Linked DNA regions of Elephas maximus indicus. The protein of the gene in region 1 interacts with the protein of each later gene in a pairwise test. Links are inferred from orthologs where the notes say so. Each region holds a gene or a part of one and is shown in the gene's direction. Other genes may lie near its edges.

Region 1 (7,468 bases):
AGATGCCCGCTCCAATTCCAGCCTCTCCCGGGGACCCCCTCGGCTCTCCCCGCAGCCCCGGCCCCTCCCCCGTCCCCAACAAACCCTGCACACTCTGCGGATTGGTCCCCGGCCTGCCGGGGGCGGGGCCCCGGGCCCTGACGTCACCAGCCGAGGGGGGCGGGCGGCTGGGGGAGGGGGTGACAGGGCCCGGCTCAGCACCTCGGAGAGCTCCCTCCCCGGCCTTGTTTTGCTCCCGAGTTGCTGCCGGGGGAGGGAGCGAGGGGGCCGGGCGCTAGGCGCGGAGGCAGGGGGATGGCCGCTGGGGGGTCAAGGGGCCCTGGCGGGCAGAGGGCCCAGCCGTGAGCCGGCGGGGGGCCGGGACGCCGGGCGAGGTGGGGGGCAGCGGGCGGCGGCAGCAGTGGCCGCATATCTGGATGGAAGCAAGCTTTGTCCAGACCACCATGGCTCTGGGGCTGTCCTCCAAGAAAGCGTCTTCCCGCAACGTGGCCGTGGAGCGTAGGAACCTAATCACCGTGTGCAGGTGGGCGCCGCTGGCGGGTGGGGGGCGGGATGGTCAGGGAGCCGGGTTGGGCAGCTGAGGAAACTAGCGCGTCCGCGGGAGGAGACACAGCAGCTGGGAGAACAACGAGGGAAGCAAAGGGTTAAAAGTGCGCGTCCACGGCCCCTCCCAGGCCCAGAATGGGGAAGGGGCTTGAAGGTCTGGTCCCTACCCTTCTAGGCCTATGCAGGCCGGTGCACAGCCTGGGTCTTGGGGGTTGGGGGGTTTTAATTGGCACGGCAGCTTCCTGTGAGAACCAGGAAGTGACATTGTGTGAGGGGGAGGGGGAGGGATGTCTGGCTTCGTTTGCTGGGGGCGGGGGCGGGGCAAGCCGAGAACTGCTGGGGGGAATGAATGCTCTCCCGGGGTACCCTCACCCCCACCCCTGTCAGCCAGGCCTCTCTGCGGTGGGGCTTTGCCTGGGAGACTTTCCTCCGCTGAAATCTCGGAGCAGGGACCGTACCCTCCTCCATCTCTCTCTGGGCAGCTGCAGCTTAGGCCAGGGTCACCTGGGCAGCTGGGCAAAGCCATGAGTCAGGCTAGCCAAGGGTGATGGGTGCTGCCCCTGGCACGGGAAGAACCAAAGACTGGCTATGGAAGCCTGAGTCCTCTGGGCTCAAGGAGAAGAGGATGGAGGCAGGGCCCTTGGTCCCTGAGGGTGCGGCTGTCGCAGTGTTGGGAAGAGTCACAGGCTCTCTTGGGGCCCAGGAAGTGGTCCTTCCCACTTCAGCCCTGCAGTGGCTCATCATCCCTGTTCTGCCCGGAGCCAGGAAGCAGCCAGCCGCCCAGCTAATCTCCCTGCAACCCCCAAGGACACTCCCCTCTCCCTCTGGGGTCCCCATGCCAGTGGTTTCTCCACCTGCAGCCTCCCTGGTGCCCAGGCCCCCCAGGTGTTGGGGAGTAGGCCCACTCAGGGCAGGGTGCCCCCATCTCAGCCAGCTTCTCTTGCCAGCCCCACCTACCTTGTACACAGACCTTGGCCCTGCCTCCTCCCCCAGGAATTAGCGCCCACCTGATGCCCTAGTTCCTCCTGTAGCTCCTTCCAGGTTCCTGGGCACACATCCAGCCATGCTGTGTGTCTCACACGTTATAGCCCTGCGGCCAGCACAGTGCTGTGCACATCAGACCTTCCACAAAATGCTTTCCATGTCATGGAAAGAATAAGTGCAGCTATGGCCCGGCCCAGAGCACAGGCTGCTGCCTCCACCCTCACTCCCAACCTGTCAAAAAAAAAAAAAAAAACCCAGTGCCGTCAAGTTGATTCTGACTCATAGTGACCATATGGGACAGAGTAGAACTGCCCCATCGGGTTTCCAAGGAGTGCCAGGTAGATTCGAAGTGCCGAACTTTTGGTTAGCAGCCAAAGCTCTTAACCACTGCACCACTAGGGTTTCCACCAACCCACCGGTGTGGTGTAAAACAAAGATTTTGGCCTTCGGGGCCAAATAGTTGTAGGTTCCAGCTCTTCACCATTTATTAGCTGTATAACTTTGGGGGAAGTCTCCTGACCACTCTGGGCTTTGGGTACATCATGCCATGTCTGTAACATGGGGCAGATGTAACAGACACCCCAGAGGACGGTTTTGATGAGATACATGTAGGGCCCAGCACAGTGCCAGGCTCACAGAAACAGCCACATCCTGATGACACCCCTCTCCTCCCTCTCGTCATTCTTGACCTCCCAGGTTCCTCTTCTTTCTCTTACCTGCCAGGATAGCTGACGCTCTTGACTGTGGAGAGGAAAGAGGGAACTCCCCTGGCCTAGGCTGGAGAAGCAGAGGTTCTGGTAGACCAGAGGTGGGCTCGGAGCTGGGGTAAAGGGTAGTATTTTTGGGCATCAGGGCATGACAAAGGCTCAGAAATCCCTCGGGCCTCTGCTGCCTCATCACTGTCACATGGTTTGCCTCCAGCTCCCAGAACAGCTCCCTTTAGCAGGCCAAGGGTTCCCCTGGGCCCTGGCCTCCCTGTCTCCATGGTAACCCACAGCAGCCACTGCACCTCCTAACCGGGCGCACACCATGGGGCTCCCAGGGGCGATGACCAGCTGTACAGCACCCCTGAGGACAGATGACAGAGGGCTGCCACACTGCACCCAGCCCCAGGCCCCTACCAAGGCCTGACACAGATGACCAGAAGAAACCATCAATGGAGGGTCATAGTGAAGCCCAACCAATGTCCTAAATGCAGACTCCCTCCCAGGAGGGCCATCATCCCACTACTGGCCCAGCTCCTCACCACCCCTTGCCCAGCCCTGCCCAAGACTGGGACCAACATTGAATGTGACAAGTACTATTATCACTGTTACACAGGAAGATGGGCTTAGAGAGGTTGAATGACTTGTCCAAGGCCACACAGTATTACAAGAAAACAGAATTTGAATCCACTGGGCTGCCTCCCCCTACTGTAACCCCAATCATGACCTACCTGGCTATAATCTCAGGCCAGAACAACTCTGAGCCCAAAGAGAAGTGAAGGGGGCCCCATAGGTTCAGCTGTGCCATTGGCCTGAAAGCCTCAGAAGCCAGTACTCCAGGAATACAGTCTTGTAGGGTGGAGGGCAAGGAAGTCAGAGGCTGCTCAGGGACCTAAGTATGACAGCCCCCAGGAGGCCACAGATGTAGCAGAAAGAGCAAGGGCTTTGGAATCAGACATAACTGCTTGAGTCCTTACTAGTGACCCTGAACAGACCAGACAACCTCTTGGAGCCTCAGTTTCCTTATCTGTAAAATGGGGATGATGATGATAAAAAGAGGACCTACCTCCCAGGTCTGCTGTGAGGGCTGGATGAGATAATACATGCACAATATGGTGCTTGGTACAGGATAAGGGCTTAAGAAACTTAGAAAGAAAAAACGACAGTTCCAAGCAGCCCCCATACCCCTGGTGTCCCCATCCCTGTCTGTCACCCACAACAGGGCAGTAATGGGATGTTGGAAGACATATCCCCATCCTGGCCCCACCCTACTGCAGACTGTGGAGATTGCAGGGGAGGGATTGCAGGGGAAGCCTGAGGCTTCAAGCAGGACTGGAGAGAGGGGCAGGGGCCACCTGGCTTAGCGCCTCAGCCCTCCTGGCTTCCCTCAGCTCCCTCCACTCTGAGAAGCCAGGTGTCCAAGCCTCCAAGCTCTTTCCCAGGGATCTGCTGCCAATGCCCCTCTGGCCCAATGTGTGTATCAGACCCACACCCTGCAGCTCCCCGCCCCCCACCCCGCCCCAGCTCTGCACTGCCTGGTTCTGGGCAGCTGGTGTGTGGGTGGCCGAGCTGGGAAGAAAAGGAGGAACAGGGGTATTCATTTGCTGAGAGCCCACCTGGCCACCCATGAGTGCCCACGCTCCATATGCACGGTGCCAATCATATGCCCTGGCAGAGGTGACTCCCCCACCCCCAGAAAGGGCAGCAGGTTGTCCCAGCAATAGCAGAAGCCAGCTCAGGGCAGGACACAAACAGGCTTCTACCTCCTGCGTGACCTCCAAGTCACACAGATAGAGAATGACACTGAAGGGGGATCAAGGAGGAAGGGGATCCCCAGAGATGGGGCTCTGGGAGAGCCCCCTGGCTTTGGTGCCCCATCTTTCTATCTAATGTTTCATCTCCTCCCGTATTTTGTTCCCAAAGCTTCCTCTCTCTGGCTGTCACCTCTCCTGTCACCCACTTCATCAATCAGTCTCCTACCTGTCATCCTCCCTCCCCACCTGCCACTCTGTCATTCCACATGTCATAGCCCCCCTGTGGTCACTGTATTCTCACCTGTCACCCACCTCTTTTTCCCTCTGCGTCCCACCACATCCACACCTGTTCTCTGCCCATGGCTGTCTCTCTTGGCCTGACACCTTCCTCTTCCTTCCCTACCCTGTCTTCTTACCTGACACTGACCGTCCCTCCCCGTAGGTTCTCCGTGAAAACACTGCTGGAGAAGTACACGGCCGAGCCCATCGACGACTCATCTGAGGAGTTTGTGAATTTTGCAGCTATCTTAGAGCAGATACTCAGCCACCGTTTCAAAGGTGGGCCCAGGCTTCTGTCACCCACCGCCTAGCCCTTCCAACTTCCAGCTCTTAACGTCCAGCCACCCCACTCTGATATACTCACGGCTTTCTGAACCCCACACTGACTCTGGCCCCAATCGTGGGCCCTACACAGAAGCTCATGCGTAGAGCTAGGAGGAGGGAGGGGTCTTCCGGGCACACACAGTGGATGCCCACCAGCCCCATTGATGGGTGTCAGCTTTATGCTGGTGTGCCCTCTGAAAGCATGCATGTGTGTGCACACGTTTGGGGTGGGCACTATGCATGTGCATGGGAACCTATACGTAGGCATGTGTGTGCTCCATTACATGGCCCCTCTCCAAACTCCCTGGCCTTGCTGAGCCCCCCTCCCTGCCCTGGCTCAGCCTGTGCCCCAGCAGGTCCGGTGAGCTGGTTCAGCTCAGATGGGCAGCGGGGCTTCTGGGACTACATCCGACTGGCCTGCAGCAAAGTGCCCAACAACTGCGTGAGCAGCATCGAGAACATGGAGAACATCAGCACAGCCCGAGCCAAGGTGATGGGGGCTGGGGCAGGGTGGGGCTGGGGTGATGCTCCCTGGCTCTGGATGCAGGAGGCCTGCCTGCTCCTTGGTCTTCACCCCTACCCACAGGTACTGGGGAGAGGGGTGACAGGAGGCCACAAGGTCTTTCTGGGACTGCAAGTGAAGGTGAGCTTGCTTTGTAGGGCCGGGCCTGGATCCGGGTGGCACTGATGGAGAAGCGCATGTCAGAATATATCACCACGGCTCTACGGGACACCCGGACCACCAGGTCAGACCCTGCCTGTCAGCCCAGCCATGGGTCTCAGTTTGCATGGTCATCGTCTAAAAGCACTTGATTTTTAAGTTCCAGTGGCAACTTTCAGTACCTGGACTACAAGTCCCGGGATAACTGCTAGCTTCTCTCCCAGGTTGTTCCTAGCATGGCTGTTCTGAGGTCCTGGAAGTCACACTAAGCACTACTCCCATCACCTCTATGTCAAATTATATGTCCCATTATCTCCCACCACTCCCATCATGCACAGCTCTACCCTTGGACACACCTCTAGACAAGCCCCAGCCATGTATGGCTTTACTTGTTGGCCTTGTTCCATGACCTTCTGCACACAGCCCTACCTGCTTCCCAGATAACTGCAGCAGTTCTGTACTTGTTACTGGGACTAGACAGTCCCGTGAGCAGTTTCAGCCCCTGGACTGTGGGTTTGCAGAAAGATTGGGTCCCTGTGTTTGAAGCTGTTGGATGTAGTAGGGGCATGTACCCTCCACCCCCAAGGTGGTCATGCCCAGCCTGACCTTTTACTGCATTTATCCTGTCTGTCCTCACATTTCAGAATTCAGGTCAACATATTTTTTGAGCCCCTGCTATAGGCATAGTGCTAATGATTTACACTTGTTCCCTGACTTTGAGGATCTGGGTGACCCAGTACTTGGTGGGAAGGGGCAGTTCAAATGATGGAGGGGAATCTATTCTCAGGTAACATCCGTTCTAATAGCTGGGAGACACAGGTCCTATCCCCAGCAAGCCCCAGTCTGACGGGGGCAACAGGATCCAGGAAACACTGGGAGGCAGACAGCAGAAGTCCTGAGGGGTGCAGACTTGGGAGGAGGAGGGTGCTGGGCCGTCAGTCCCTCTCTTGTCCCACAGACGATTCTATGACTCCGGAGCCATCATGCTGCGGGAGGAAGCCACCGTCCTCACAGGGATGCTGATAGGACTGAGCGCCATAGACTTCAGGTGGGGCTCTCCAGGGTGCTGGAGGGGGGTGTTTCCCCCATGAATCTCCACACCCCTATTCCCTCCTGCCCGGCCCCAACCCTGTGGCTCCTTTGCCCCAGCTTCTGCCTAAAGGGGGAAGTGCTGGACGGGAAGACCCCTGTGGTCATCGATTACACGCCCTACCTGAAGTTCACCCAGAGGTGAGCAGCTGGAGTTGCGGTAAGCTCCGGTGACTCTCAGATGACCCTCGGGTGATGGTCTGAGGGGCAGTGACGGGACTGGGGACGGCCGGGCCAGTATCCTAACCTGGTCCCACTGCCCGAGGGGTCTGGATTGGGATGCGAGTGGGGCAGGGCTGGCCCGCGCCCACTGCTGTCTCACCGAAGCTACGACTACCTGACGGACGAGGAGGAGCGGCACAGCGCCGAGAGCAGCACGAGCGAGGACAACTCGCCCGAGCACCCATACCTGCCGCTCGTCACCGACGAGGACAGCTGGTACAGCAAGTGGCACAAAATGGAGCAGAAGTTTCGCATCGTTTACGCGCAGAAGGTGCGCGCCGAGCGGCGGGTGGGGGTGTGGCGGTGCTGGGGACACTGCCCAGCCAGTGGCTGCGGCAGCGGGGACCGCGTCCTCTCTACCCGGGCTGAGCCCGCGCTCCGCAGGGCTACCTGGAGGAGCTGGTGCGCCTGCGCGAGTCGCAGCTGAAGGACCTGGAGGCGGAGAACCGGCGGCTGCAGCTGCAGCTAGAGGAGGCGGCGGCGCAGAACCAGCGCGAAAAGCGGGAGTTGGAGGGCGTGATCCTGGAGCTGCAGGAGCAGCTGTGAGCGCGCTGCCGCCCTGCCCCTGCCCCCCACTCAGAGCATGTCAAGTCAGCGAAACCCATCATTCAGGGACCCCCAAGTGATGTCACTCCCATGACTCTAACATCACCTTTCCTGACACTGCATCCAACTCAGCTAACCGCCAGCGTTAACCCACTGATCCACACCTTCACCGCAATACACTCCATGACCTTCTAACATTATCCCCAAAGATCCCCAACAGAAGATGCAGGGATAACCGACTTCACCCTACATGACCGTAGACATCAGCTAGAACAGCCATCCAGCGTTACTCACATTGCCCTCCAGTATTCCTCCTCCACGCCATTACTCACAAGGACCTCTAACCTTATTCAGCCACC
Region 2 (6,963 bases), on another chromosome or scaffold:
CTCTTTCTGGGTGATGACTGTGAGCCCTAAATGAAGTCTCTGCATCCAGGCTGGCCCCAGGACCAGATCCTGGCCTTGCCTTCTTCCCCGTGTCCCACAGCTTCCTTGGTGCCTTAGCATGGCTTCACCTGTGTGAGCATGGTGTTGACATACCATACACAGGATAACTGGGTGAGGGGTGGCCGTGTGGTGTTGCACTCAGTCTGCTGAGGTGCTCTTCTGAACCTAACTACTGTCTGTCCCTGACTACACAGTCCTGAACCTGACTGCTGTCTCCGCTGCTTTCTCTCCCAGTGCCAGGTGGAGCTCAACAGGAAAGTGCTTGCAGACCTGGCCATTTACGAGCCAAAGACTTTTAAATCTTTGGCAGCTTTGGCCAAAAGGAGGCGAGAAGAGGGATTTGCTGCTGCCTTGGGGGATGGGAAGGAGCCTGAAGGCGTGTTCTCCCGCGTGGTGCACTACTGCTGAGTAGTGCCAGTGTATGACTTAAGAAATTTTTTTCCCCACAATGGTCATACAACTAAAATAGGAGTGAGAGGAAAGTTTTAGCCAACAGTTTCTAAGTCAATTTACAAATGTTTATTTATATTTTATTAGCCAGTGTGAGAGAAAGGTCTTGTCTTTCCTCCTTTTGGAACAGCTTCACAGACTTGTCTTATGTAGATCATAAAAATAAACCTTGTATGGTGCTCCGCTTTGCAATTTGTGTTTCTTGCAAACAGGGCATCCCAAGGGATGCAATTACCTTGGGGTGCCCTGGCCTGGGGGAGCGTTGCACCTTGGTGGGGGTCTGTGCTCACTTTGCCTTGGGAATGCCTGGGGTTTGGGGTGTACTCAGTTGAGGGGTGCACTTGCCCAGGGATGCCCTCGAGGTCCTGGGTTGTAGTATGCACCTGAGCATGCTGTTTTCTCCCTTGGAATCTTAGATCATCTGTCTTCTGTAGATGGGGGGGCTTATGCCAGGCCTATACACACGGACCCCAGCTTTCCTCCAGGGCATGGGGTGGCCTGCCCTGTACCTACCTTCCCAGTTCCTGGACCTGCATCTGGGCTCATGTCGGGCATCCCTTGCCACCCCCAGGATGTACTGCCTGGGCTCTGATGCCAAGCATTCTCCGTCTTTGCCAAGTTCCCCTGGGTGGGTTTCTCATTCCTGGCTTGGGCCTCATCCCATCTGTCGCCCCCCACCCCACTTCCTGGTGCTTGGAGCAGGGACCCTGCAGCCTGCTGTTCAGCCATGCCAGCCTCAGTTCATCTGTGGTCCCCTCCATCTCTCACCTGCCTGTCCTGTCCTCCCACAACAGGCAGATAGGCACCCCTCCCTGAGATACCCCATGAAGTCCAACCTGGAATCCTTCTCAGTAAGCTTCCCAGTGAGAACGGCCTACCTACCCTCCTCATGCTGCCTGGCTCCCTGTCCGCCTCTTGACTGCAGTGACCTCTTCTCAGAGCACCTCCATGCAGAGGTATCCACACCTTGCCTCTCCCTGCTCAGGGCCAGGCCCTCCCTATGGTCTGAAGCTGGAACCTTGGCCTCTCACATGTGTCATGAACCCTCCTTCATTTCTGTGTCCCCTTTGCTATCACAGCCTGTTCTCCTTCCTCTGCCAAATGACTGTCCCCTTGCAGCCTCCTGTCCTCTGGCCTGGCAGTTGGCCCACTGTGCCTCTGGCTGCTCTCACCAAAGCCTAGGTCCCACAGCCACTCCAGCCCTGGCCTCTCTGATCCCAGGGAACACTTACTCCTTGTGGGCACTTACCCTTCCCACAGCCTATGACATTGTGGCTGCCTCTTTTTGCCCTATGAGGTCCTGTTCCCAGGGCTTGGGCCTCCAGATGCTTACTCACTGGCACCCTCACGTCTCCTGCCAAGACCAACTCCCCAAGCTCCAGTCTGCATGTCCAGCAGCTCTGTTGTGTGGCCACTGGTCAGGGGCTCCCACAGTGCCTCCTTCCCCTGTGGGTGACGGTACTTTTCTCACCTTTGCCAGGAGTCACCAGGAAACCATTCTGGGGCCCTCCCTTGGGCTAACCACCACCTACTAGCACACACTGTCCATGTTCCTTTATGTCTTCACCCCCACTGCAACCACCTTGGCTCAGACCTGAGCAACCCTCCACCTGATCCTTGTCCCTCTGTATACAACGGCCCCACACTGTGAACATTTGGAGGCTGGAGGCCAAGGGTGAGTTGAGCACTGCGGATTCCTGGCACTGAGTGCAGTGCTGGCAGCACACACAGGCACTCACTGCACAGTAATCGTCAGTACAGCGTCAGGGAGCAGACAGCTGGGTGAACAACAGAGCGCCCTTTGACAGGGGATTGAATTTCTCTTGTGTGTTTCATCTCAGTGAAGATGGGGCTGTAGGCTGCCCCCCTTCTGACCTAAGACCTACATTTTCCTCAGTGCAGGCAGGCATCAATGGCCTTGCCCCCAGCTCCAGGCCTGCACCTGACTGGAGTCATCAGCTCTCTCCACTCTGCCCGATCACTGTCCAGGTAATGGACAAGGAACCCACATAAGGCTGAGGATTTACAAGATGATTGCTGGGCCTTCCGGAGCAGTGGGACTTCCTCCTCCTTTCCCGTACTGTGTGCTGGGAACAAGAGAGGTGGGTGGACTCAAACTAGCTTGCCCATGGAAGGTGGAGAGGAGAAACTGCATCACATATGGGATTGTTTGAGCTGCTGGGTTGAGTCTCCCCAGAAGTCAGTCCACATCTGGAGTCTTCAGGGGTTAGAGCCAATGGAGGCCTTTACGTTGAGCCAGTTTGAGTTGGGCATGATGCCATTGGCCACTCAAAGTCTCTGAACCTGCCCCCACCTGGTCTTTCCCTGGCTCTCCCACAGGTTTCCCTGCCATCCTCACACGGGCCTTGCACTAGTCCTGGTGAAAGTTTGGGATGACTTGTGCAGCAATAGATGGCTAACGCAGCATTTGTTCATCTGTGCAGTGCAGTGGCAGTACTGCAGGTGGGTGATCTGACCCAAGGCGGCCAGAACTGCGCAAGGCCTCCAGGGCCACTAGCTCTAAGCCTTTTATAAGTGAGCAAATGAAAACGAGGGTCACAAATGCATTACACCCCTCCCATGGCTCCTCACAGTTCCATGAGGTGCCTGGACTCAGCTTGCTTCCTGCTGACATCTTCAGCCCAGCACCCTCACTTCCTCCTCTCCAACCCTAGCTGGAATCCTGTGGAACTTCTGCCTTCCACCAAACTGTCAGGGGCTTTGTAGCAACATCGAAGTCAACGTTTCCAGTTACCCACTGACCAATCTCTCTTCCTGTGGACTGCATTTTGAAGACAAGAACTTGGTATTACTTCTGTGTCCCCAGTGCCTGGGGTCAGTTAGGCTTGGAAAATAATGACCGTACTAGCCGCCACGTATTAATTTCAGCAAAGAGTATCCATTGCTGCGTGCCAGGCGCTGGACTAGTGGCGATTTACCAAGCACCTGTCAACCTCCCGCGAGGGAGGTAACACCATACTTCCACGCTCCACGCGTCCCTCCACCATGCTCTTCACAACTAGGACGCAGCCTCCCAGAACATAGCCGGGATGGACAGGGCGGGAGGGCCCTCTGGGGACGGCAGGTTGGCGGTTGGTCCACCCAGCACCGCCGAGACTGAGCCCACCCGCCAGGACCGCACACTGTGTCGGCTGGGGTGGCGACGCGCAAGCTTCCCCATCGCTGGGTCTCAGTGCGGACGCGGGCCGCGCTGGCTAAGGACCGGCTCGCCGTCGCACCGCGGGCTCTCAGAACGCGCCACTTCCGGGTTGGAGCCGCCTCGCCCGAAACGCCGCGAAGCCCCCTGGGTAACGAGCCCGCCCCCGCTCACGCCGATTCCCGGTGTCGGCGTCAGGCTCGTCACTGACAGGCAAGCCGCGCAGCCAATCGCGGCCAGGCAGAGCCGGGCCGCCCGCAGGCTGAGCCAATGACGCGCACGAGGCTGGGCGGTGGCCGTAGAGCGTCGCGAGGAGCCGCCCTGCCGGGAAGGAGCCGAAGGGAAGTCAGCGGCACAAAATGGCGGCGACGGCAGCGGCCGGGGCTCCGGGGCCTGCGGTCCCCGTGGCGGCGGCCGGGGCTCCGGGCGCGGGGAGCGCAGCCCCCGGGTCTCAGGGAGTGTTGATCGGGGACAGGCTGTACTCCGGGGTGCTTATCACCTTGGAGAATTGCCTCCTGCCCGACGACAAGCTTCGCTTCACGCCGTCCATGTCGAGCGGCCTCGACACCGACACTGAGACCGGCCTCCGCGTGGTGGGCTGCGAGCTCATCCAGGCGGCCGGCATCCTGCTCCGCCTGCCGCAGGTGAGTTCGCTGTCGCGAGCCTCGGGCCGGGTTAACCGTCGGCCAACGCCGGGGGTGGCCCGGCCCTTTGTTGGTGGCTGGGCCGGGCCTAGTGCGGCCTCCGCCCAAGAGTCGGGCCCAGCGCGACCCTCGTCTACTTCTCTTTCCTGGAGCCGGGCCCAGGGCGACCCCATCCTCCACCCTCTCCCTGGACCAGGTGGCCGAGCCTTTGTGGAAAACGATTTGGTTTTGGCTCGCTCTCAGGAGCCACACCAAGCCCGGTGACTTGTGTTTAACCATGAAACCCTTGAATTGAGCGCTTGGAAATGATGGGAAACTCTTTTTTAGGTGGCCATGGCTACCGGACAGGTGTTGTTCCAGCGCTTCTTTTATACCAAGTCCTTTGTGAAGCATTCCATGGAGGTAAGGACCTTTTTCTCCATAGACATAGCCCCAAGTGAAACCCAGGGCGGTAGCTCAGAAGAGGGCCTACCTGTCCTGTAGACCAAGCTCTTTTTATGTCTTTGGAGGCCATCAGGAGCAGAACAAACAACTCTGTGTTGAAATGCTTACGTTTTAGCATGTGTCGATGGCCTGCGTACACCTGGCCTCCAAAATTGAAGAGGCTCCAAGACGGATACGAGACGTCATCAATGTGTTTCATCGCCTCCGACACCTTAGAGAGAAAAAGTAAGTTTTGCTAGAAGTGTCAAAATTTCTTTTTGTTTTTATGACTCAGTTGCAATAACATTTCTGTAACAAAGCTCAGGGTGTGAGGTTTTAAACTGGTGGGTTATTCAATAATATATTCCCAAGTACCCAAAACAGAGTCTGGTGCCCAAGTCATAATCAACTGATAGTGTTTAGTGAATGAGGGAATGGCACCATGGAGGACAAAGGCCCTGTGGCTGTGGTTTTGCTGGTGTTGGCTTCCTGGTTCACCCATGTAGTCACACCCCAATCCATCTCTTGTGTAGTACATGTCTCTGAATGCCATAGAGTAGGGTTTTTCAACCTTGACACTATAGATGTTTGGGGTTAGGTGGTTGTTTGTTGCAGGGGACTGTCCTGTGCATCACTGGGTGTTTAGCAGCATCCCTGATCTCTACCCAGTAGATGCCAGTAGCACCCCCACCCAGTGTGGCAGCCAACAGGTGTCTTCAGACGCTGCCACTTGTCCCTAGGATAGCAAAATTGCACCTGATCGAGAGCCACATTACATCTAGCTAGACTTTGTATTCCTAAAGGAGGTGGAATTCCTTTGGAAAACACAGCTCCGTCTTGTTAAATGTCATCCTTTCATCGGTTGTCTAGTTTTCCATTTATTTTCAAACGTGTACACATGTGTTTTAGATCATGCGAAGTACATCCAGCCTCTCTGTGGTGAGACCCTGAGACCCTCCACTATATTTAGTTGGTGTTTATTATGCATCAGGGGAAGGTGACTGAGAAAAGATACTAAGTTAGCACTGGGGTTTGAGGAGGACTTTGTGATTTTGCTAGAGGAACTGAAGTTCACTTTCCAGTAACGTCTGCCTTGGTAGTGTTTGTAAGAGTCTTCTCTTTGGAGGTAATTATGGGGTTTGAAAGACCTCGTTTTATTTGACTCTTATGCAGGCCGCATGCTTTGTCTTTGCAGGAAACCTGTGCCTCTACTGTTAGATCAAGATTATGTTAATTTAAAGAACCAAATTATAAAGGCGGAAAGACGAGTTCTCAAAGAGCTGGGCTTCTGTGTCCATGTGAAGCACCCTCACAAGGTGGGTATGGGGCTTAGCCTGTGACCTGCCACATCACTTTTCAGCTTTTGCCACCTCATTTCTCCATTTTCACAGTGAGTGAAGGCTCCGGAGAGGATTTACATGCTACTTTCGCTTGGTTTTCTAGTTTATAATCTCAAATAATTGTTCATCTCTAACTTTGTCGCGTTCCCTGTTCATTTTGATAATATATTTTTAAGGGTTGTAGAAATGGTATCTTTTAAGTTTGAACTTTCAAAAATAGTGACAAATTTGTAAAAATTGGATTTGTCAGTAGACATCTTTTTCAGTAGAGCTAATTATTTTCAGAAGTTGTCTTAGGAATAGCTTTTCTTCGGGTCATGGGGTAACGGGGAGAATTCTGGACCCATTTACTCTGAAAGGAGCTGAACCAGTTTTGTGGCGCGTTAGTTGGGAGGATGGCTGCCACACTGTTAGTTTACTTGCAATGCCGTGGATATATTTCCTGTGTTATACTTGAACAAAATGTGTTTTGACAAAAGATTGTTGTCTGCATCTTTTAATTCACCCCCTTTTTGTTGGTGGGTTTCCTCACGTCTTCTCTTACTTTGGTTTTCAGCACTGTTTCAAATTTTTGGTAAAATATCAGCATATCTAAGTGTTTTTCTTTACTTGCCGAGCATATTTTCACAACGTGTTGTGTTAAGTTGGCAATTGGGATGCAGAGATGTTTAGGGCAGGTCAATATCACTGATTGAAAAGGTATTGAAGACAATCGTGGGACGGGCGGCATGCTGGCTGCCAGCAGGAGGCCTTTGGCCATGGGGCAGCTCATCTTTACCCGCATGCTTGCTGCCAGCTGCCAGAGCAGCGAGCAGGTGCGTTAGCCACGCTCACTTCTGCTGAGCTGCCACCGATGTGTGACCAGGAGCCCAGTCCTTGAATCTAGCAT
Region 3 (7,933 bases), on another chromosome or scaffold:
ACATCATTATACGACTGCCAAACTACATTATAACAGCCAAACCACTGAGAATCATAGCCCAGCCAAGTTGACACACAACCTTAACAATAACAGGTACTAAAATGTTACCTTCCTCATGAAGTTGTGATTTTCTCTGGCAGAGAAGTACTGTCTTCCGTGGCCTCTCAGGAGCACTTCATGCATAGACCCTGTTACATTGTGCTATGATTATTTTACATTTTCATATGTACCACTCCCACCAAACCATAAGCTCCTTGCAGGCTGGAATTCGCCTATTCAATCCATGGAACACACTACTGTCAGAATTACCTTCCTGAAACACAGATATAATTATTTTCCCTCATGCTCAAAAATACTTTAAGGCTCCACATAACCTAAGATGAATTTAAAATTCCTCACATAAGTTTTCTACTATTTGACACTGGTCTTTTTTTTTTCCTGGCTTATCCTCCCCTATAGCCTCTAATCATTGGTTATTTCCCAAGTTTCCCCAGAGCTTGACATTGTGACCAGCAAAAAAGCATTCAATAAGTATCTGATGAATGTTTGAGAATCAGAATCTACATCTGATACCACCAAGAAACTGCTGGGTAAGGCCTTGCTTGCTTTTCCTAGCTGATGTCTCTTCTAAACTAAAAGACTTAGAAGAGACTAAAGCACAAAAATAAGATTTCCCATTTCCCATATTTGGGGCTAAATCTCTCTTATAAAAAGAAACAAGATATTTTCACAAACCAGCAAGGAAAATTCCAGGGGAAAAGCCAGGCAAATCAGCAGAGTTTCCAATCTGTCACCACTTTAATCCATCTTGTAAATCACTTCCAGTTTAATTTTAAAGTACAAAACATCACTTTCTTCATTAGTTTTCTATTTCAGAACTTAATGAGTGGCTTCCATTGCCTACCTGATCAAAAAATTTTCCAACCTAGTTTTGAAAACCTTCCACATTTCACCTACTCAATCCACTGTCCACGCTGTCAGAAGTACCTTCCTGAAACACAAATATAATTATTTGCCCTCATACTCAAAAATATTTTAAGGCTCCACATGACCTAAGATAAATTTAAAATTCCTCACATAAGCTTTCTACTATTTGACATTGGTCTTTTTTTCCTGGCTTATCCTCTGCTCTAGTCTCTATTCAGCAGTTATTTCCCAAGTTATGTTTCTCTAATATGTCTTACATTTCCCTGTCTTTATGTATCTGCAGTGTTCAAATTGTTCCTGAACCACTTGAAATGCTTTCCTCCAGATCTATTCTAAAAGTTAGCCGTCCCAATAGAAAACATACAATCCACTAAGATTTTTCCATCTTCTCCCTCCCCATTGAGAATCAATCTCTGTTTGGGGCCAACCTGACTGGACGCCATGCTCTTCTCATATTCCATAGAGCTTCTCAAAACATTCTGTCCTTCCACTACAGATACTTACATAAATACTGAATCACGTCTATCAGCATACACACACCTTTTAAGACACCCTCCTGAGACCCAGTATCTACCATTTTATTTCTCTACTTCCTTTTCTAGCAAAATTCTTCAAAAGATGTGTTTGTATATTTTGTCTCACCTCCTCACCTCCCCTCTTTTGAACCCACTCCAAACAGCCTTTCATCCACCACTCACTGACACTGTTCTTGTTTTAGAGGTTAGAGCTGAAAGGCTTTGGTGGTAAAATTGATGTAGAACGTAAAAGCCAAGGACGATTCTAAAGTTTTGACCTGAGCAACTAGAAAGATGCAGTTGCTATTCAATGACGTCCAGAAAAGAACAGAAGCAAGTTTCGGTGAGCTACATGGGGGAGTTTGTTTTCGGACATGTTAATGTTGAGATATTGGGCAGGCAGTTGGATCTATGCGAGTTTGGAGTTAACCAGCGGTCTGTGTTGGGGTCATAATTTGTGAGTTGTCAATGTGTTGTTGTTAGGTGCCACTTCAGGAGCGACTACATTATTGAGCTAAAAGTGTGCCTGGGGGGCATGCTCTCGGGGTTTCTCCAGTCTCTGTCAGACCACTAGGTTTGGTCTTTTGTGTGTGTGTGTGTGTGTGAGTGAGTTAGAATTTTGTTCTACATTTTTCTCCAGCTCTGTCCAGGACCCTCTATGGTAATCCCTATCAGAGCAGTCAGTAGTGGTAGCTGGGCACCATCTAGTTGTGCTGGACTAAGTCTGGTGGAGGGTGTAGTACCTGTGGTCCATTAGTCACATGGACTAATCTTTTCCTTGTATCTTTGGTTTTCTTCATTCTCCCTTGCTCCAGATGGGGTGAGACCGTAGAGTATCTTGTTGTTGTTGTTAGGTGCCATCGAGCCGATTCTGACTCATAATGACTGTATGCACAACAGAATGAAAGACTGTCTGGTCCTGCACCATTCTCACAATTGTTGTTATCCTAGAGCCCATTGTTTCAGCCACTGTGTCAATCCATCTCACTGAGGGTCTTCTTCTTTTCCATTGACCATCTCCTTTATCAAATATGATGTCTTTCTACATGGACTAGTCCCTCCTGATAACACATCCAAAGTATGTGAGACAAAGTCTCGCCATCCTTGCTTCTAAGGTGCATTCTGGCTGTACTTCTTTCAAGACAGACTTGTTAATTCCTCTGGCAGGCCACAGTATATTCAATATTCTTCATCAACACCAAAATTCAAAGGCATCAACTCTTCTTCGGTCTTCCTTATTCATTACCCAGTTTTTGTAATGCATGAGACAAGTGAAAATACCATGGCTTGGGCCAGGTGCACCTTAGTCTTCAAAGTGACATCTTTGCTTTTTAACACTTTAAAGGGGTCCTTTGCAGCAGATTTACCCAACGCGATAAGTCATTTGATTTCCTGACTGCTGCTTCCACGGCATTGACTGTGGATCCAAGTAAAATGAAATCTTTGACAACTTCACTATTTTCTCCATTTATCATGATGTTGCTTATTGGTCCAGTTGTGAGAGTCATTGTTTTTTGTTATGTTGAGGTGTAATTCATACTGAAGGCTTGAGTCTTTGATCTTCATCAATAAGTGCTTCAAGTCCTCTTTCAACAAGCAAGGTTGTGTTATCTGCATATCAAGCAGGCTGTTAATGAGTCTTCCTCCAATCCTGATGCCACATTTCTTCACATAGTCCAGCTTCTCTGATTATTTACTAAGCATACAGATTGAATATATATGGTGAAAGGATGCAACCCTGACACACACACCTTTTCTGATTTTAAACCACTCAGTATCCCCTTGTTATGTTTGAATACCTGCCTCTTGGTCTATGTACAGGTTCCGCATGAGCACTATTGTGTGTTCTGGAATCCCCATTCTTCACAATATCTGTCTGTTTGTCATACTGTGGTGGCTTATGTGATGCTGGTAGCTATGCCACCAGTATTTCAAATACCAGCAGGGTCACCCACGGTGGACAGGTTTCAGTAGACCTTCCAGACTAAAACAGACTAGGAAAAAGGACCTGGCGATCTACTTCTAAAAAATTGGCCAATAAAAACCTTATGAATAGCAGTGGAACACTGTCAATGTGTAGATGGAATTTAAAGCCAGATTGGATGATATTGGAGCCCTGGTTGCACAGTGGTTAAGAGCTCCGCTGCTAACCAAAAGGTCAGCAGTTCTAATCCACCAGCTGCTCCTTGCAAACTCTATGAAGCAGTTCTACTCTGTCCTCTAGTTGCTGAGTAAGAAATGATGTAATGGCAATGGGTTTGGTTTTTTGGTGGATGCTATCACTAAGGGCACTGGTGTAGTTGGAGAAGATGTGCAAGACCCCCTGGGGCACTCCAAAATGAAGATGCTTGAATGATGCTTGAATGAGAGGAGCCCTGGTGGCCCGGTGGTTAAGAGCTCTGCTGCTAACCAAAAGGTCAGCAGTTTGAATCCACCAGCTGCTCCTTGGGAACCCTAGCAGGCAGTTCTACTCTGTCCTATAGAGTTGGTAGGAGTTGGCATGAACTTGGCATCCAGGGGTTTGAACGATGAGAAGTAATCAGTAAAGGAGAATAAAATCCAAATGCCTTACCGTAATTCTGACTTGGTCTCTCTCAACCTCTTTAACTCACTCTTCAGTCACAGAGGCTTCTCAGTTTTTTAAACACACCAAGTCCTCTCCTCTCATGGTCTTTGTCTTTCCTGTGCCTTCCACCAGGAATATTTTTACCCCGGCTCTCATTTTAAAAAACTCTTTCTCTTACTCCAACTCTCAGATAAATTGTTACCCCATCTCAGTTTTTGCTAACCACCTTAATAGGTCCAGCCCAACCATCCATCACAAAGTTTTAGCCCTTCTTTTTTTTTTTTTTTAGAGTGTGAAATAATTTCACTTGTTTTCTGCCCAGAAAACTTCAGTTTTTATATGAAGCTTACAATATGATTGTTGTTTTGCGTGTTGAGTTGATTCCGACTCATAGCAACCCTATATGAGGGTAGAACTGCTCCATAAAGTTTCCTAGGCTATAATTTTTACGGGAACATATCGCCAGAACCCCCCTTCCCCCAACTCCACCTTTCAGTTAGCAGCCCAGCCCTTAACCATTGCGCCACCAAGGTTCCTACAAAACGATTACCATATGTCAAATATTAGCTCAGATATTCCTTCTTGCATGTAACTTCCTTGTCCTCTGCCGCATCCCAGTGAAACAGCGTCTCAGCAACCAATCCCGAGTTTTCAATAATTTTATTAACAAACGGATTTCAGGTCATTGATTTGTAAATCGTAGGCCTGCAACAGGAGGCGGATACTAACCAATCGGCAAATAGAAGAGACCGGGCCCGCCGCTCACGTCCTGCCCAGGTAAAGGGAGGACTCGTGCGCATGCGCCATTCCTCTCGGCGCGCGCCTGGCTGAACCCCTCCCCTTTTCCTTCCCGGGTGTAAGCATTGCACATGCGCAATACTGGTTTTGTCCGTTCCCTTGTCACCGCTATCAATAAAGTTTTGATGAGTACAGACTCCCTTTTCCTTGGCAAGATGGCGGAGTACGACTTGACTACTCGAATCGCACACTTTTTGGATCGGCATCTAGTGTTTCCGCTGCTTGAGTTTCTGTCGGTAAAGGAGGTAAGGGCGGCTTTGAGCCGGCGGAACGCGTCGGAGCGCGTGAGGTGCCGGGGGTGCCGAAGGGCGGTGCGTTTAGTCTTAGGCCTGACGCACGTGTGAGGCAGACGGGCGTTTGGCCCCAGCCCGGGCAGGAGGTGTACTGGTAGTTTAGCATTGACCTGGTTAGTTAGCACAGCAGAGTTCGGCTGTGGGAAGGAGTGAGGTGAAGGAATGAAACTGGGTGACAAAGAGGTCTGTGTATCGCTTCTTGAGGTGCCGGCACCCGGGGGACGTCTGCGTCAGCTCTCGGAAGTTGACGCTTAACTGGCTAAACTATAACGTTTGACCTTTATCCCAGGACGGCTTCTAAAAAGCAAATTGCAGTGTTCGAAGTTTTGATTTTCTTTACGGAACCGTGGGAAGAGTGGGCTTGACTTTGTGCTTTTGTTCGCCGGATCGTTTAGAATGTTTTTCTTACACTTAAATATCTAGCATTTTTTCCAAGAAGTTGTGAGCTTTTTGCGTGCAGTTTCCCTGGTCTTTTGATAAGTAGTTACTTTCTAGAAGCGTAGCATATTTTATCGGATGGGCAAGAGCACCAGAAATAATAACAAAAACTTTTAACTTATTGTTTATTTTCTAATGTGTAGATAGATTTTTTTTTTTTTTTAGATAGATGTACAGATTTCGTCAAGTGATTTGAATTGGTAGTTAATTTTCACGTAGCTGTAGTTCCGGGATCTCATTTTAAAATATACTTCTGTCCTAAAAGTTTTGAAATGTTGGGCTTAGTTATAGCTACAGTTTATTGGGAAATTGGTGCATTTTAATCATCATAAAGTAATATTACTATGATGAGGGGATTCGAATTTTGACCAGAAAAATAAGTTATTTCTGGAAGCAGATTACTGCATAGATCTATTGAGGGGACAGAATTTGGGGGCTTTTTGTGGATGTTCCAATAGCAATAAAAAAAAAAAAAAAGGTCGTGAAAATAAACATTAATTTGTTCTGAAAACTCTTCAGAGCTTCCAGGTGGGTATGGTTTATTAGAGAGCTATCGTCCTCAAATCCATACCATTAACTTTTTATAAACACATGTGGACTTAAGTTGATGACGTTAGGGAACAACAAAGTTAATTTCAACAAATGTCCTGCTACATAAAGCTTTATCTTTAAAGAATGTATTTTTGCCTTGATGTTTATGTAGGGTGTACTGTTTTTTAGAACTTGTTACTGCCTCGGAGTCAGTTGCAATTCATAGTGACCACATGTGACAGGGTAGAACTGCCCCATAGGGTTTTCTTTGCTGTAATCTTTAGGTTTTTTTTTAATCTTTAGGGCAGCAGATCTTTCTCTCACAGAGTCTGTAGGTGAGTTCAAACAGCCGGCCTTTTGATGAGCAGTCTAGTGTTTAACATTTGTACCAAAGGCTTAGGTAAGATGATTCACCACAGATCAAGGAAGACAAAATGCCATATTTTGAAATCCTTTACCAGCTACTTGTAGAAATGCTTGCTTCTAAACTAGTTAAACTTCATTTTTCTGATATGTTCTTTACTCTTTCTTTTTCAAGGTAGACAGAAGAAAAGGAGGAATATAAGTGTAGATTAGTTTTTCATAGGGCAAGACAAAACTGTGTATTGCAGCTGAAAGTCAGTGAGAAAAGGCTACTGTTGTTAGGTGCAATTGAGTCAATTCCAACTCATAGCGACCCTACATACAACAGAATGAAGCACTGCCCATCCTCACAATCGTTACTGTGTTTGAGCCCATTGTTGCAGCTGTTGTGTCAGTCCATCTTGTTGAGGGTCTTCCTATTTTTAGCTGACCCTCTGCCTTACCAGGCATGATGTCTTTCTCTAGAAAGTGGTCCCTCCTGATAACATGTCCAAAGTAAGTGAGACAAAGTCTCACCATCCTTGCTTCTAAGAAGCATTCTGGCTGTACTTCTTCCGAGACAGATCTGTTCGTTCTTCTGACAGTCCATTATATTCAATATTCTTCACCAACACTGTAACTCAAAAGCATCTATTCTGCTTCGATCTTCCTTATTGTCCAGCTTCCGCATGAATATGAGGTGATTGAAAACACCATGGCTTGGGTCAGGTGCATCATAGTCCTCAAAGTGACATCTTTCTTTGTTTTTTAATACTTTAAAGAGATCTTTTGCAGCATGTTTGCCCTGTGCAGTACGTCGTTTGGTTTCTACTTGTAGAGCATGCTGGTGAAATGGCTGTAATACACCAAGAGGAAGACAGATCCTGGAATATTTAGTGATTACTAAGTATCGGATGGCCATAGAATTGTGAGAAATCCAAGATAAAACCCAGAAATCTCCAAGTGGTGTAGTGGTTAAGAGCTACAGCTGCTAACCAAAAAGTTGGCGTTTGACTCCACCAGGCGCTTCCTGGAAACCCTGTGGGGCAGTTCTACTCTATCCTGTAGGGTCGCTATGAGTCAGAATCAATTTGACGGCAGTGGGTTAGTAGGTCTACCTGTTTTTTAACAAACAAACCTGGAGTCAGTCTGTTCTTTAGAGGAGATAAATGTCTATAATATGAGGCAAAAAGTTAAATGTCAGAGAGATACCAGTAGTTGCCATGAAAATTAGGAGATACTGTTATCTTAGTGGAAGCTCGTGGCATAATGGTTAAGTGCTGTAGCTGCTAACCAAAAGGTTGGCAGTTTGAATCCACACACTCCTTGGAAACTCTCTGGGGCAGTTCTACCCTGCCCTGTAGGGTCGTTATGAGTCGGAATCAACTTGATGGCAGTGGGTTTGGTTTTTGGTTTTGGTTATCTTAGTAGGCAAAAAGGACTTTGGGAGGTGAGGCTTTACATTGAATCTTAAAGGCTGGATGGTTAGGTTATAGTCACAGTGATCATGATACATAAGGGCA
Region 4 (7,733 bases), on another chromosome or scaffold:
TGGTGCATTTCCTGGACTTGGCCCTATGCACTTCTTTCTTGGCTGATTTAAATCTGTATCCTTTGCCTGAAATAAACTGTAACCATGACTATAACAGCTTTCCATGAGTTCTGTGAGTCCTTCCAGTGAATTTTCAAAACTGAGGGTGGTTTGGGGGATCCCTTGAATTGCAATTAGTGTCAGAAGTGAAGGTGGTCTGGTATGGACTATCCCCCCCAACTTCTGCAGTGGGCAAAGGACCACACAGTGGCAAGAGCTGAGTCATGTGCCTCCTTCTGGGCTAAGTGTGTTCAGAGAGGAAAGGACTGACATTAATGACAAATCCTGACTCATCCCGAGGAAAAAGAAAGAGCAAGCATTCAGGAGGCAAGCGGCATTGTGGCCACACTTGTGCTATATTGAATGATCCACACTAAAACTCTCATTTTCTCAAATCCCCCAAGTTAAGACTTTTCAGTCTTTTTCTCCCTATGTTTTAATCCTTAAGCCTTTCCTCTCAGAAATTTTTTCTTCTTAAAATGGACTTTTCAAAGAGACATTTACTTCCCAACCCACAGGCTTCTTTCACTGACTTGTTTACATACTCAATCTCTGCACTGTGATTCTTTATCTTTTCAAAAGCATTGGAACGTACCAAATTTCTGAAGAGGAACAGGTTTATTTTGACCTTTCCTTCCCACTTTTTAACCTATTTCTATTTCTCAAAGAACAAGACAATGTCTTCTGCTCTCCTTCTAATTCCCAGCAGGGTGCCACAGGTGCTAATGTACGCGGTTTGTCCCTGCCTTTTATGGTTAATCGGAGATGAGCTTTAACAGGAATCAACAGGAACCAGGGTTTTACAGCCAAGATCAACGGTCATATTACACATGGCCTGTGCTAACTTGTTTATATTAAAGTCTCTGCATATTTGCTTCTTGCTGATGTCAGGAAGTCCCACAACACAGTGTATCCCCACTTCATTACACCTTTCCAACGTCTTTCACTGGAAGAAAGGAGCTGGGTTTCCATGGTAACGCATGGATGGCACTTGAGGGTATTTGGGCATAGGTATGACAACTCTCAGAAACCCTGGCGGCCTAGTGGTTAAGTGCTAGGGCTGCTAACCAAGAATTTGGCAGTTCAAATCCTCCTTGGAAACCCTATGGGGCAGTTTTGCTCTGTTCTGTAACACTGTGAGTCGGCATCGACTCCACAGCAGTGGGTTTTGGTTTAAGACAACTCTCAGATTCAGTGGAGAGAAGAGAGACCAAGTCTCCCCCCACCCCCCCCCCCAGAAATTCACTTCAGAAACTAAAGGGACCCAGCAGGTCAGCATGCAGTGTTAACACAGATTTATAACTCTAAACGAAAATTCAATTTTGTTTTATCTCAATTTTATTTTGCCTTTCTCACAAAGAAATGGGGGCAGAAGCTTTGATTTCTAAAGTTTCTCAGAACAGAGAGATGATGCTGGCATAGGAATGCACATGATGAAGGGACCAGGAGACAGACAGCCGTTACCCACACAAATCTTCAAAATTCTCTGTATGTCCCGACATGTTTCCTTACGGCTGCTAGTCCTTCAGCCAGGATTGCACATAGAGCCACCAATCAGGTAAGTACCAGGATCCAAGCCAGAACAGATAAGAAAGCATGTGCCTGCCTGTCACATTTCCTTTGCCTCCTAGTGGTTAAAAAGTTACTTCATGCCACTTGAGAATGCAAACTGAGGCCTGTCCATATCAGAACTATAAACAAACTGCAGTTACTCCAAGGGCTGCAGTCTCTACACTTCTGCTTATCAGAAGGTCAGCACCGGTGAAAGGTCAGAGGAATAGCCTGAGACATGCCAAACACCTCTCCTGCTCCATTATGCGAAGCAGACTGACTAAGGAGCCCACTTCCTATATTTGTTACAACTTCTGTTTGATGCACTCTAATCCAGAGCCTCCTAATTGTCTGGGAACCCAAGCTAAGGAGAACAATTGCTTAAGGTTACATACTGGGCCCACAATCCCAACACTAATTTCTCAAAAAAGAAAAGTCACTGGGCCTTTTTTATTCCTCGCAAAAGGAACAGATTTTCAACTCCACTGCGACATAAGGCACTGCACGGGCTGTAATGATCTACACAAAGACAGAACTTTGAAGCTCCTTGGCTCTCCTTAGCCTCCACCAAGCCCAGGAAGTTATTATCACCAAGTTAGACAATTCAGACCTTAAAAGACAGTCGGTCTTTCCTTAGAAAAGAAGTGTAGCTGTTACCGACTGAGCTCATGTACCTACAAATAAGAATACTAGTTTCACACAAAATACCAGACTTCTGAAATGCCAGGTGAACAGTGCATTTACCTACAACATCCTCCTGAAATGTCTCTGCCAAAGTGCTCAGATATGAAGCATTCAACTGAGCTCTCTCAATTTTAATTCCTATTTCACATTACTACCTTCGGTTGAGATATCAGATCCTCTTCTGTCTCTTTTAAATTATTCCTCTTAGTTCTTTTGCAATTTGCCTTCATACACTGCTGAACCTACTGACTCAGATATAACACTCATATTTCGATGATAATCAAGAAATAATGACTGAGGCATATTTTACTACACACTTTTAATTCTGACAGGACACTTCCTTGTCTTAAACAAAAACTTAGGGTGGTGTGTGTGTGCATATACATATTGTATATATATATCTTATATATATAGCGAGATAACGCGAATATGAATCATCCACTCTAATTTAGTGGAGTGATAAGGCATTAGGACACTGTCGAATCTGGGTATAAAAGTAATGGTGGAGAGGCACGCCAGAATCAAACGTTATGACTATAAAAAAAGGATTTATTATTCCCAAGAGATGTGAGAGAGTAATGGATGAGAGTAGACTACTTTTAGAAGGACTTAGTTTATGGGTGGTAAACCCAACAACGAGTTATTACAAAAATAATCCAGGGATGTCTGGGGCTGTGGGTGCAGAAGGGTACCTAAGCTGTAATGCTCGAAACATAACCTAAGTTTTAAAACAGGAAAACACACACACACACCCTATGCCTTAGGAGGCACCCAGAGAGGACCAACATAACTGCTGCACGATGCCTCCTCAAGAACAGGAAAATTTCTGTTTTCGCGATTCAGCCCACCTTCACCCCAATCCCTCAACACCATTTCCACGCCCATCACTGAAGGAGAACGCCACAGAGACTCAATTCATCACCCTCCTCTGCAACAACCCTCGTTGCTTTGCCAGAGGAAGCCACAGCGACCAAGCCCTCAATCACTGACGCCCTCCCCAGCCACACCAGCCCTGAGTCCCGTCTCCATACAACCCGGCCTTTGTAGCAAGACAATCGAAAGTTGTGGTTGGCTCAACCTAAGCCTGCGTCATTCACCAGCTCGCCTACGATTGGTTGGCAGAGAGTACGCAGGCGCAAACGCCCCGCCTGGAGAGGCATACGGAAATGGATGGCTGAGCCTGCAACTAGACTTCTTCCCTATTGGCTGAAGCAAGGGTGTCACGTGGCATTAGGCGGCTCCCTATTGGCCCTGAGTGATACCACGAGGTATAGAGACGTGTTGTGGTTGGCTGGAATGAATCCAAGCTTCCTACTCAATGCTCCAGCCGGCTGTTGCTGAGGCATCCCTGGTGTTCTTGGCGGCCTCGCAGGGCTCCGCGCTCCGGGTTTTTCCTGCGCCCGCAGCTGACAGGGCGTGGGAAGAGCTCGCCTTCAGTCCCGCTCAGTGGGAGGCGGGGCTAGAGGGGAGGTGGATGGGATCCACGTCGACGTCGCTAGGCGTGAACCCTGCCTCGGCGGTGTGTGTGGCCGCTGCTGAGCAGCTCCTCCGGCCGTGGGTGCTTGTCACCTGTCCGTCATTGCTCTGCCGCTGGGAACAAAGCTGCTTTTCCTTACGTTTATGCAACCTCGGGCAGAAGGCCGGAGGTGTTCTCCTCACCTTACACAGAGCTTCATCCCCACAGCGAAGCCCTGAGAAATACTGACAGACTGGGCGGTGTCAGGCAGAGCCCCTGCCCACGTCTTCCCTGCTTTGCTTGCATTAGGTTGGCCTGGCCCCGCTAGCGTCCGTGTCCGCCAAGACCCGAGACTCCGGCAGGCGAACTGGGCATGCTCAGTACACAGGCCCCAGGGCGCGGTGGGCTGTGCGGGTGGGGTGGTGGTGAGTGGCCGCGGGGCTTGTTTATTTAAGCGCGGGCCGAAGCTTCGGCGCTGCGCAGAGCCTCCGGGGAGCGCGCGCGGCTGGTCGCCTAGACGACGAGGGCCGGGGCGGGGCCGCGAGGCCGCGAGGCCCCGCCCCGGCCGCCGAGCCCCGCCCCCGGCCGCGCCGCGGCTCGGGCTCGGGCTCGGGCTCGGGCTCGGGCTCGGGCGCGCGCTCCAGCGCCGAGGGGAGCGGCGGCGGCGGCGGCGGCGGGCGAGGAGCTGGGCGTGGAGGCGCGAGGGGCGGGGCGGCCAGGCGGGCGGGCGGGCGGCACTGCGGGCCCGCGGCTCGGGCGGCTCCGGCGGCTGCGCTCCCTGCGCTCCCTGCTCGCCCTCAGTGCGCCCGGCTCGGCCCATGCCCAGGGCCGCCGCTCCCTCCGCCGCCGCCGCCGCCGCCGCCGCCCGGGGGGCCGCCGCGGCCGTGCGGGTGGGGCGGCCGCGGGAGGCGGCGGGGCCGGCAGCCGGGGCAGGGTCCGGGGGCGCAGCGCGGCGGGCGTAGTCTATGTCGCGGGCGGCGGGGGCGGCGGCGGCGGCGGCGGAGGGACGATGCGCGAGTACAAAGTGGTGGTGCTGGGCTCGGGCGGCGTGGGCAAGTCCGCCCTGACCGTGCAGTTCGTCACCGGCACCTTCATCGAGAAGTACGACCCCACCATCGAGGACTTCTACCGCAAGGAGATCGAGGTGGACTCGTCGCCGTCGGTGCTGGAGATCCTGGACACGGCGGGCACCGAGCAGTTCGCCTCCATGCGGGACCTGTACATCAAGAACGGCCAGGGCTTCATCCTGGTCTACAGCCTGGTCAACCAGCAGAGCTTCCAGGACATCAAGCCCATGCGGGACCAGATCATCCGCGTGAAGCGGTGAGAGGCGCGGGCGCGGGGGCGCGGGCGGGCGGGCGGGCGGGCCGGCGGGGGCAGCCCCTTCCGGAGGGGCCCCGGGGGGCGGCCCGAGCCGGGCTTCAGGGCGGGACTGGGCGCGGCTGTCCCGGGGCCGCAGCCCCGGCGCGGGTCCGCCTTAGGGGCCGCTGGCCGGGGAGACGGCCCGCGCGCTCCTGCTGGTTCTGCAGCCCTCCCCACCCTCGTCGTCGTCATTTTCCGTCTCCAATTTGACCGCTTTGTTTCACAACTAATATCTGGCACCCCGTTAACCCACAGCACAGCTCTTTGTCTCTTGGCTCGTCTTAGGAGCGCTTGTACAGAACCCTAAAGGAAACAAAGTTTAAAACTTGCAGGGGATTAAAGGGGTGGGCAGGTTTATGTCGGGAAGAGGATAGTGGAAGTCTAGGCAAGACATTTTCAGATTGAACCGCCCCCGCCCCCTCCCCCCGAAAAGCTACCTTTGCAATATTGATGGCAAAAATTGCTCACACATGGACTGCGAAGATACCACATCAAGAGCAAAGAGACCTTTATCATCCCAGAAAAGATTTAATGGTGCAAATGCGTCTTACAGAAATCAGCTCTCTGATTTAGTGCGAAACTTTGAAGCCAGATTGTTATTTGAAGACAGCAGCTCAGTGGGGTTGCAGGAGTGTTAGCTTATAGGTGCACAGATAAGCCTTTTATTCATTAAAAGAAGCGTGGCTTAACTCTGGACGGAAATGCTTTTTTCTTCCATTTGGTTTTGTTTCCATCTAACCATCCCCCCCCCCCAAAAAAAGACGGAAGAGTCTTCAGATGTGTAAGTCGGGTATTAGCTGATAAAGTTACTACAAACGAGCTCTTTGCCGATATAAACTCTGTTCTAAAAAGTTATGGCTGGTAGCTTAAAGGACATGATGTCTGTTTTCTATTAAAGTTGACTGAGTATATTTTTCCCTATGATTTTGAGCGTTTGGCGTGTTAGTGTCCTGGTTCAGAGTTTCAGCAAGTTTCCCTAATTACTGTTGAATTACACATGTTTGTCTGGTTCTTACTGTGAGAGTCTCTGCAGATAACCTTATTGATGTAGTCTCATTTTCTTTTTCCTACCCCATTCCACCTGTAGCCATACATTTGAAGACAGACATTGAAAGATAGGTGCGAGTTTACCACAAGCACAATCACACCAGAAGGCAGCTTGAGTCTGCTGATCTTGAAAAAGCAAGGACCAAGCGCGGTGTACTCAGGGCATGCTCAAGAACTCTGTCAGCAGTGGGTTTTTAACGCAGTGTAGGAGCTTCAAGGGGAGGCCCTCTCCCCACCACCCTCCTTAACCAGATGACTGTGCACTTCAATAGCTAAGTGAAAGTTTTGTGTTATCCCTTCAGTTAAATTTCAAACTAGAATAAAGTCAATATTTTTATGGCCTTTGTTGCTGAGATCTGTGAGTCTGATAGCCTTTTATTTCTCCAGTCTCAGTATCTTCAAGTTGTTTATGGTTAACAGATGGGCAGTTTTGGTGTTGATAATGTATATGACATTGAAGGAACTACACCATTCAAAGGGAGCCCTGGTGGCATAGTGGTTAAGAGCTCAGCTGCTAACCTATAAAGGTAGGCAGTTTGAATCCACCAGCTCCTCCTTGGAAATCCTGTGGGGCAGTTCTTTTCTATATGTAGGATGACTGTGAGTGGAAATCGACTCGACAGCAGTGGGTACCATTCAGGGGACTCAAATGCTTAATTATACTTCACCACCCCACCCCCAACACCACGCAATTAAAATGAAAAAAATCTACGAGCAGAGCAGTCTAACACGTTGCCACATCTCAGCGTTTGACCAAACACATAAAATAATAATCTAAGTAAGTGCCCCAGCTGTCCCACCTTTCATGTCTTAACATGTCCATATAAAGGTGCATGCATACGTTATAAAGCCACATACCCAGAGCAAACCTCTTGGCCCGAGCCTAGGGGGCAAAATATGGTAGACAAGATATCATCGGATAGTATAATTTCTTATTTAGTGCTGATTATTTTTCTCAGTATGTAATGTTTTAGTCTAAAATTGGTGTCCTGGGACAACTTCTTGCACTGTGGCCCGTTGCGGGGGGAGGGTAAGGATAAATTTGACTTGCCTGCATGTCGCTGTACTCACTAGGTTCCCTTCTTGGTGTAAAAAGACCAGTGAGCAGCTAAAGTGGAGTTCATCCACTCTTCACTGGAATTCTACCATTTTCCCCATGAAGAACCACTGAGACTTTTATGTTCACATCATGTTTTTTTATACCCCTCCCTAACCTCATCATCTGGTTTCCCAGACCTTACCAAAAAAACCTTTGCAGTCAAGTCCATTCCGACTCTTAGCGACCCTGTAGATCAGAGTAGAACTGCCCCACAGGGTTCCAAGGAGCGGCTGGTGGAGTTGAACTGCCGACCTTTTGGTTAGCAGCCATAGCTCTTAATTACTGCACCTCCAAGGCTCCCCTGGCTTCCCAGCATATAGCATATTATACAAAAATTAAATTGAAAGAGAGAAAGGACTTGTGTCTGTTATCTATCTACAATACATAAAGCATATATTATACTGGAACAGGCGTTCACTGTGTTGGTTCTTCACCCCTCCTCCCACTTAAAGAGGATGAAACATGGTTTTCAAATAAGTGAATTTTCTACTCTTT

What was found.
Region 2: the proteins of RUNDC3A (region 1) and CCNL2 interact in binary tests that used the Homo sapiens proteins (3 or more experiments, as listed by UniProt). The two-hybrid records come from large-scale screens. The link is inferred for Elephas maximus indicus from reciprocal best matches to the Homo sapiens genes RUNDC3A and CCNL2.
Region 3: the proteins of RUNDC3A (region 1) and EIF3E interact in binary tests that used the Homo sapiens proteins (3 or more experiments, as listed by UniProt). The two-hybrid records come from large-scale screens. The link is inferred for Elephas maximus indicus from reciprocal best matches to the Homo sapiens genes RUNDC3A and EIF3E.
Region 4: the proteins of RUNDC3A (region 1) and RAP2A interact in binary tests that used the Homo sapiens proteins (3 or more experiments, as listed by UniProt). The link is inferred for Elephas maximus indicus from reciprocal best matches to the Homo sapiens genes RUNDC3A and RAP2A.

Annotation. Positions count from the first base shown.
Region 1 is NC_064837.1:50,816,770-50,824,237, forward strand, and holds the start of RUNDC3A (RUN domain-containing protein 3A), read left to right. Parts: upstream 1-4,546; 5' UTR 4,547-4,688; coding exon 4,689-5,081; intron 5,082-5,251; coding exon 5,252-5,337; intron 5,338-6,210; coding exon 6,211-6,300; intron 6,301-6,401; coding exon 6,402-6,482; intron 6,483-6,668; coding exon 6,669-6,834; intron 6,835-6,947; coding exon 6,948-7,105; intron 7,106-7,468. UniProt on the Homo sapiens protein: May act as an effector of RAP2A in neuronal cells.
Region 2 is NC_064821.1:39,994,462-40,001,424, reverse strand, and holds the start of CCNL2 (cyclin-L2), read left to right. Parts: upstream 1-3,955; 5' UTR 3,956-4,026; coding exon 4,027-4,311; intron 4,312-4,638; coding exon 4,639-4,713; intron 4,714-4,870; coding exon 4,871-4,980; intron 4,981-5,929; coding exon 5,930-6,050; intron 6,051-6,963. Other genes in the region: MRPL20 (39S ribosomal protein L20, mitochondrial), read left to right, coding at 295-468. UniProt on the Homo sapiens protein: Involved in pre-mRNA splicing. May induce cell death, possibly by acting on the transcription and RNA processing of apoptosis-related factors.
Region 3 is NC_064833.1:34,017,727-34,025,659, forward strand, and holds the start of EIF3E (eukaryotic translation initiation factor 3 subunit E), read left to right. Parts: upstream 1-4,928; 5' UTR 4,929-4,931; coding exon 4,932-5,051; intron 5,052-7,933. UniProt on the Homo sapiens protein: Component of the eukaryotic translation initiation factor 3 (eIF-3) complex, which is required for several steps in the initiation of protein synthesis.
Region 4 is NC_064832.1:92,112,043-92,119,775, forward strand, and holds the start of RAP2A (ras-related protein Rap-2a), read left to right. Parts: upstream 1-4,716; 5' UTR 4,717-4,739; coding exon 4,740-5,053; intron 5,054-7,733. UniProt on the Homo sapiens protein: Small GTP-binding protein which cycles between a GDP-bound inactive and a GTP-bound active form. In its active form interacts with and regulates several effectors including MAP4K4, MINK1 and TNIK.